2 linked regions of the Saccharomyces cerevisiae S288C genome follow. The protein of the gene in region 2 purifies or fractionates together with the protein of the main gene of each other region. This does not show direct contact. Each region holds a gene or a part of one and is shown on either strand. Other genes may lie near its edges.

Region 1 (3,567 bases), on a different chromosome or scaffold from region 2:
GAACATTTAAGATTCACATACTTCCCCGTTTTTAAGATGTTGGCTTTATTCGATGTCATTGTACAAAGGATGAGAAAGGGTGAATTATGGCACGGCATATTTACGATGATTCAAATGGAACAAATGCATTCTAGGATAATCAAGACATTAAGCATTACCTTAGGAGTCAAACTGGACAAAAAGGATAGGCTATTAGAGGAATTGATGGCATGCAATCACGTTGCGAATTTTAGCGTTGAAGATATAGATGAGCTGAACCGTAATATCAAAAAAGAGATTCAAATTTCTTCAGGATTGAAGCCGCCTGTAAACACAATTGACTTAACCAACGGCGAACCATTCGGAAATGCTGTTCCTACCTTCACAAAGACATGGAGTTCATCCTTAGATAATTTAGAAAAACTATCATCGGCCGCTGCAGTTGGTCAGAGCTTGGACTACAACAGTGGTTTACGTCAGGGTCCTTTGGCGGGTGGTGGTTCAAAAGAGCAAACGCCAATAGCCGGGATGAATAACTTGAACAATTCAATCAATGCTACACCAATTGTCGATAACTCATCTGGATCACAACTTCCTAATGGTTTCGATAGAGGCCAAGCGAATAATACTCCTTTTCCAGGTTATTTTGGAGGTTTGGATTTATTTGATTATGACTTTTTGTTTGGCAATGACTTTGCTTAAAAATTTTCTTTCCAAACTCCTACCTATTCATTTCATCAATTAATTAATATTATATAGCCACGAATTTATGAAACTGACCGATAATATAAAGTGCTCAATATATATATATATGTATATAACGGTTAACGTAAGAAGAGCTCTTCCCTCTTAAACATTCGAAAAATGATTGAACCAGTATATTTGGTCGAGCAAGACTTTCTCCTTCGCATATTTTACGGCAGGTATGGATATATCGCCTCTTGCTGCAAACCCGTGAGCCACACCACTGAAGAGGTCTAACTGGTAAGTAGCGTGATTATCCTTTAATTTTTCCTCCGTTAAGTGTCTTAAGTTTGCCGGAAAGATGTGATCCTCTTCCGCTGCTGAAATCAATATTGGTTTCTTGCTATCAATTGCTTCAATTTCCTCGATGCTGACGAAAGATGGATGTGCAATGGCTGCAGCATTGGCAAGACCCCCGTCGCCACTAATGTGTTGGACGGCAAACTTTGCACCAAAACAGTAACCCACAACGCCAATAAACTTTGGGTCATATTCAAGTTTTAACAACTTCATGAATCCATCAACAATTTTCTTGGTGACTTCAGGAGAATGTCTTTGAAACCAGGCATCACGATCAATTGGTTTGTCCGATGAGATAGCATCGCCGAATAAAATATCGGGAACAAAGACCATGTACCCAGCACTAGCAAATTTGTCGGCCGTTAATAAAACATTGTTGAATTTATTGCCATACACATCTGTCAAGATAACTATAACTTTTTCCTTGGGAGATGTAGAGCCTGCTGCATAAGTATCTAAACCGAAGATTTCTTCACGACGACCCTTGGGTGTTCCATCGTGACAAACTCCTTCAAAGCAACACTTGCCAGGTTGATTAGATGCCATTTGATTGAAATAATTTTGTTCTGCTGTAGTTAGACGTAGTGGAAAACTTTAAGTCTACTGAGTCTTGAGACCTTATCACCCTTTGAAGGTTTCTTGCAAATGAGCGTGGTTTGGCATTTTTTATCGGAAAGAAAAAAAGGGCTCCGCCTTAGGCCAGATATCATAGAAATGCAACACTTCCCTAATATAGAAATTTGGGCATTAATTATTTTGAGAATTTTGATGATTTGAATAATTTCATTAACGTAAAGGAACATAGTGCTACGAATCCAACAGTGGACCCAAAAATGAGAGCCGTTTGTCTGTAGTCGACATCTTTTGCTGCTGTTTCTTCTGGCAATCCCGGAGTGTTTTTGCCAGGATCAAGAGCAGCTTCTGTGATTTTAATAAACAATTCATTAAGGGAACTTAGCCATCTGGATGATATGTGCAGTGGGTGGTTCACAAATAGCTCGTCTGCCAGTTCATCTGGTTGGATTTGACACCTTTGTTGCTGCTTATCCAAATCTGCCTTAGAAGCTACAAATACCAACGGTAGATCTTGTAAATGTGTGAATTTGTCTAGAAGCGAAACTAAGTAGGAGAATGATTCTGGGTCGCTGGAATCGTATGTTAGACAGATTACGTCACATTCTTTTAACTTATCCTTATTCTCTAGTATGGCGTATTCCTGTTCTCCAAGTTCTTGCAAAATCAAATAGTACTGTTTCCCACCTTTGAGTTCTAAACTATTGACTGCAATTCTTGGTTTGATTGTCGGAGAATACTCCTCCGAGAAAGATCTGCCCAAGAAGGCCTCTAGCAAAGAGCTTTTGCCGCAACATGGCTTTCCAATGACAAAGCAATTGAACACTTTTCTGTCATTGATATTGGATCTGTAAAGTTTCCCGGAACGGCGTCTCATTTTCCTTGGCTTGGTTACTTGTAGGGCTAGTCTTGCATCTTCCTGAAAGCCAAAATACACCAAGTAAGCGGTAGTTGTGCTATAGTTCAAGAAAGTCGTCATACTCCATTGTGCTAGCCAGCCTTGTAAGGTGATGCAACCCTTGTTGTTTACGACAGTGGAGAAGGGGAAATTCGTTGAGGTCCATAGTTTAGGCAGCCCTGGTGTGCACTTAAATAGACGATGTAATTCTTGATTATTCAAACCACCATCATTGTCGATATCAAACTTCAAAAAAATATCTACAAGAAATCTGTAGCCCTTGGGGCTCAATTCCACACTGGAAGTGTCAGGGACAACCAACCTCGGATGGAGAATTTTGTCATTAATACACAAGGAATCTGTGTAATGGAAAGTTCTTAGGATAGCCCATGTAGTTTCGTGTCTCCCCCTTTCAGCGTATATTTTGTTCAGTACAAGGAAACCATCTTTGGTGATGCCTTTTCCCGGTACGTATAGCTTGCGGTTAATGTACTCTTGATCGTGCTTGGAAATATCCAAAAGCAAATCTTTAATAAAATTCAGTTCGTTTACATCGATACTCTTATTGAAGCACTTTTTTTGTAAGCCCAAGATTTCGTTGTCATCTAAATATGAGTCCTGGTTTAAATCGCTTAAAAGAAAAATTCTTTTTAAAGCCATGACAGCCAATGGCTTTAGTTCACCTACCATGGCATCAAATAAAGGTGATATTGGGTGTGTTATAGCCCTTTGGCAAAGATAAAACGCTTGGTTAAGATCAAACTGTGTCTTGGCACTTGTCTTAATGCAAGTGTCGATTTCTTTAAACTCCATTAATATTGGGATAAATTCTTCATCCTCCACTTTGGTATCGATATCATCATCACTGTTCTCTGACACGACCATTGCATTGGCATTAACATTCGATATGGAATCACATTTATTTTTGCAGAGAATGACAGGAATATTCAACCCCAGGGATCTGAAATGAGGCAACCAAAAGAGAGAAACATGGTCATACGATTCGTGATCGCAATACACAAGCCAAATTACGTCGGCGGACTTCAACTCATGGTCTAAAGCTATGAGGTCCG
Region 2 (4,667 bases):
CATGAAAGCTTACGAAACTGGAAACTTTCTCCTCGATATTTTGGAATTGCGGGAGATGTAATCGCCGAAGGCACTGGTTTAGGAAAAGCCCTTAATATTCCTGGCAAGTACATATTGAAACCCTTTCCATTATTGAGACTATTGAGCGTAACGCTGTTCATAAGCTCCCTTGTCCTACTGGCTAATCCCACTGGAACTTTGAACATTTTTTCCTACTCATATGTGGTTATGGTGGTCTTATTTATCTGCGCTAAATCACTTTTCAATTATTCTTTGCAGTTTATAGGGGAGGAGACTTCCTCTTTGTAAAATCTAATAGGGCGTGTTCACAATTTTATGCGTCGGGTGACTTCAATTTGGCGCCCGTTGAGATTATCTAAAAAATGCTTTTATTTATTTAAGCGCTTTTTGTTTTGACGAATGTATTTATGTTTTTGTATATATATGAGCGTTTTTTTTTTCCAGATTTAACTAGTTTTCTTTTTCACCTGTATGCACACCATCTTTTATTCCTATATAATGCCTTTTATAGTACTTTGAATCTTCTATATACAATTTTTTAGGTTTTATCTTTTAAAAAGTGTTTATTTCATTAATTTGAATCTTTATTCCCGTGTTGCTTGGTCAGCTCATTCAACTCCTCCTCAGTGACCAAGTGATGCTTATGATTCTTTGGTTTTTCAACCAAATCGCCAGATGTAGGGTCAACTTCACAGGAGGGGACGGATACAAGCCAATCATCCTTTACCACGTCATTCATTAAAACTCTTTGCTTTGGTTCTAAAGCCAACATTCTGCCTATTATTGTCCGTGAATGTCTTGGCAGTAGCCTTAATATTTTATTTGGCCCCCGAACTATATCATCTTCGTCCTCAGGTTCCTCAGTAAATAACCTAAATGAGTTGAAGCTCTTTTTTGGAGCCTTCCAAGGAAATCTTTTAAGGACCATACAGTAAAATATAATAGCGATAGACCACACATCTGCTACTCTTGGATCGTAGGATGTTTGTTTCAATAACTCAGGAGCCAAATAAGGGTCAGAACCCACGATTCCATGTGATTTTACAATGGTATCTTCGTAAGGGTATTGGAACACTACAGCGCTCCCAAAGTCAATCAGTTTCAAGATGCCATCTTTAGTGACGACACAATTGTCCAATTTTAAATCCCTATGAGCTAAGCCCATAGAGTGCAGGTAATTAACGCCGTGGCACAGCTGCTTGAAGTAACAGTTGACTTCATCTTGTGTCATTAGGTTACTCATGACGAGATTAAAAAAATCATATGGCGCATACTCCATTACTAATAAATAGGTGTCACCTTCAGTCAACATATCTAGGGTTTCAACGATATTTTCGTGGTGCAGCGTGGAACCAATACAAAATTCAGTGGTAACCTTCTTAGAATAATTAGCTAATTGAGACTGATTAGTTCCTTCATTGTTTAAGTGTGGTTTTCTGAACATTTTGCAAGCAAATAACTTGCCGTCTGTTCTTTCTACTACGGACACTGAACCGGAAGCTCCTTCGCCTAATTTTCTACCAGGAATACCATATTTTTCTAATAGCTCCACTGGGTTATCTGTTTCGTATAACGCTTTTCCGTTACTTTCTACTATATTTTCATTGGTGTTCAAATTGAGCTTCGGTTTTGTAGGGGTGGATCCACGGTTGTGATGGTGGTGATGATGATGGTTATCGTGATAATCATTATGAATTTTTTTGAAAAATCTTGTTAATCTCAAGGATTTTTTCTTTCTTGATGAGGTATCATCACTACCGCTTGAAGAATTATGCTGTAGTTCCACGGACCCAGGGGTGGAGGCTTGAGAGTCCATGAAGTGTTTGTCTTCAATCTGTTTCTGTAGTATCTCTACGGGATGCATATGTGCCTGGTATGATAAATTCGAAGAGGGTGTATCAGATTTTGCAGAAGACACTGTAGAAATGTTGCTATGAGCTGTAGAGCGAACGGGGTGAGGATGGTGGAAAGCATCTTTTGAGCCTTGATGAATGTAGTTTATTGGATTGTGAATACTATGGGGTAAGTGGGGCACAGTGTGTCCCGTACGAACGGGATTATGATTGTTAGGTAAGGGCCGTGAAGGAGAGTAGTCAATAGGAGCTTTTTTAGCTGAAGTAGGAGAAATACCTGTCAAAGTAGAACTTGCTACTACGTGTGACTCCTTTGACAACGCGCCATTTCCCTGGGGGCTCTTTCCTATGGTAGATCTTCGGTCGTTGGGTTTGTTATACTTTATTTGATCCTCTTGGTCAGAATCTGTATTCTTTTTTGAAGATCTAGAAGAAGACCTTGAAACATCATCTGTCTTTGAGTATGATTGGTTACCACCTCCATTGAATATTTTAGCCGATAAATTCTTCAACTTAGTTGGCCTAAATAATGAAGACAGCGAAGTTGATGAAGATGAGTGTAATGGAGTTTCCTTAACCATTATGCTATGAATTTCAGGCTGCTCTTTTCTGTCCTTCTCTCTTTTTTTCCCTCTCAAATCCTCTCAGCTTATTAGCGCACTAAAGAGTCAGTTTGGGTGAATAGCGTAATCAACTTATGGAAAAGAAGAACACTAGAATCCGTCACTATTGGCTGCAAATAAGTATTATATCTTTTTTCAATGAGAAATCTTGCTTGCCCCATAACAGGTACAATACTTAGCAAGCCAGGAAGAGTCACACTGCAAAATAGATATATGAGAAGCGGAAGTAGCTTTTCCCCTTATAGATGTACGCCGTTCGATATTACCCGAACTGCAAGAAAAGCTTCTCCAAATATCTACTGGCCTCCATTCAAGAAGGCAATTAAAGAGACTATGTGTACATGAATGGGAACTTGGTATGATGGTAGTAATGCTTTATTAGTCATTCCCCTACCCCCTTGCGCAACCTATCATTTTACTTGCCAGATGTGCTCTCCACTGTTAGAGCCTCTTCGCTGACAAAGAATGGACGAGTACGCGAGCGGTGAAACGAGCACTGCAGGCAAGAGAAAGAAAAATCATGCATGATTTGGAAAGCGAATAAGAAATGACGCAGTTGAGTGTTTGAGTTGGAGCCAGCTGTGTTATTCACAGGTTCATTTCGAGAAAATAAACGCCTTTGGTGGAAGCGGACACTATATTTCACATTTTAGCTGTAGAAGTAAAAAATTTATTTCAAGTTTACTTAATCCATTCAAGCAGTGCTTTCCCGGAGTTTCGAATAAAAGACACTGAGGACTTTTCAGTTTGAATTTGAGATATGTTGTGGAAGTTTCCCAATACCAGAACCGCCTTTGAAATCCGGAAGTTTTCTTTTATGTTCTTGTGAATTTTCTATCCGAGTTTTAACTTTCGATATTCAGAAAGAATAGCCGTTCATCTCTTTTATATTATATTTAGCGATGTAATGAAAGTAAAAAAACAAAAAAAAAAAACAACAATAATCAAATGACGCATATCTAAATATTCCAGAAAAGAATATAAATAACGAGGGTGATAAAGCGGGTGCAATTAAATTCTCTGTAGTACAAAAATATGTAATAACCGCAGAACTTGTTAGTGGAATCTCTTTTAGATGTAGCTTGAAGGCTCAATTCGCTCCCCTTCGGTTTGCTGAAGGAAGAACGATGCGGAATATTACTTTGTGACCATGTTATGTAAAGACAATTTCCTATTTTTTTTTATTTCTGCCCATGCATGGCTTATTGATTCACTAAGGATGCGTTATACCTTGTTGTGTTCCAATCCCAGTAAAACGTCAATTCCTTTTCTTTGCTAACTTTGGAGACGTCGCAATCTTCATAGAAGCTCACACCTCGTAATCTGTCTTTGGCATACTCGTAAAATGTGCCCTCTTCACATGAAAAACCTGGACCACTGGAGCAACTCTCTATAGGAACCACAGCATCGTTGACCACATAACGGACGTACGAATCGTTTGAGCATTGAAACTTTTCTGTGTAGACTCTAGCTCCCTGAGGAATGTACCACGACCTGTGGTAGGAATGATCACGAAAGGGAACATGATTGGTTGTTAAATTTCTAGTGTCATCAATCAATCCAGCAGTTGTCAAATAATTTAGAATATCAGTATCGTGCGTAAAGCTCAGCCAAACTTTTTGGTCCAAGTGCGCACTTTGTCGTATTAGCTTCACTGTTGCATTGAACAAATTAGCACCTATAGATTTAATCAATTTGTATCCGGGACCATTTTGGTAGAAGCTCGTCAAATCAGTCTCATAAGAATAATGTATTAACTCTGCCGCGGAGAAAATGTCACAAATGTTACTATAACCTTTTGCGTTCAACTCGAAGGCACACCAAGAAAACAAGGCCGCTGCATCTTTCCTGCTCAAGTTCAGCCCTTTATTTTCGTCATTAAGACGATCGGAAATATTTTCTAAGTAGTCCCTCGAATATGACATTAATATATCATTGTTGGCATTCGAATTCCAATTGGGGCACGAACTTTTGGCAGCTAATGTGTTTGCTCCTGACGAGGAATTTTCGCTAAGTGTTTGAAGTGATATATTAAAGCCATCGCCCAAAGCCTCGGCAAAATATTGCGCAGTATCGTAGATTCTTTTCGAATTTGTGGTGAAGATAGGAAAGTTGGTACAGTTCTCCATCAATTTTCCATATTTTGCTAAAAACTCCCTTGCATGTCTCT

The links.
Region 1: the proteins of RTK1 (region 2) and AIM2 purify together in Saccharomyces cerevisiae (affinity purification with mass spectrometry, with the first as the bait; one large-scale study listed by BioGRID). This does not show direct contact.

The regions. Positions count from the first base shown.
Region 1 is NC_001133.9:51,027-54,593, forward strand, and holds AIM2 (protein AIM2), read right to left. Parts: upstream 1,570-3,567; coding exon 829-1,569; downstream 1-828. Other genes in the region: oleate-activated transcription factor OAF1, read left to right, coding at 1-681; ERMES complex Ca(2+)-binding regulatory GTPase GEM1, read right to left, coding at 1,775-3,567.
Region 2 is NC_001136.10:404,752-409,418, forward strand, and holds RTK1 (putative serine/threonine protein kinase RTK1), read right to left. Parts: upstream 2,456-4,667; coding exon 593-2,455; downstream 1-592. Other genes in the region: MRX9 (Mrx9p), read right to left, coding at 1-206; putative acid phosphatase DIA3, read right to left, coding at 3,700-4,667. UniProt on the Saccharomyces cerevisiae protein: Probable serine/threonine-protein kinase that may be involved in ribosome biogenesis.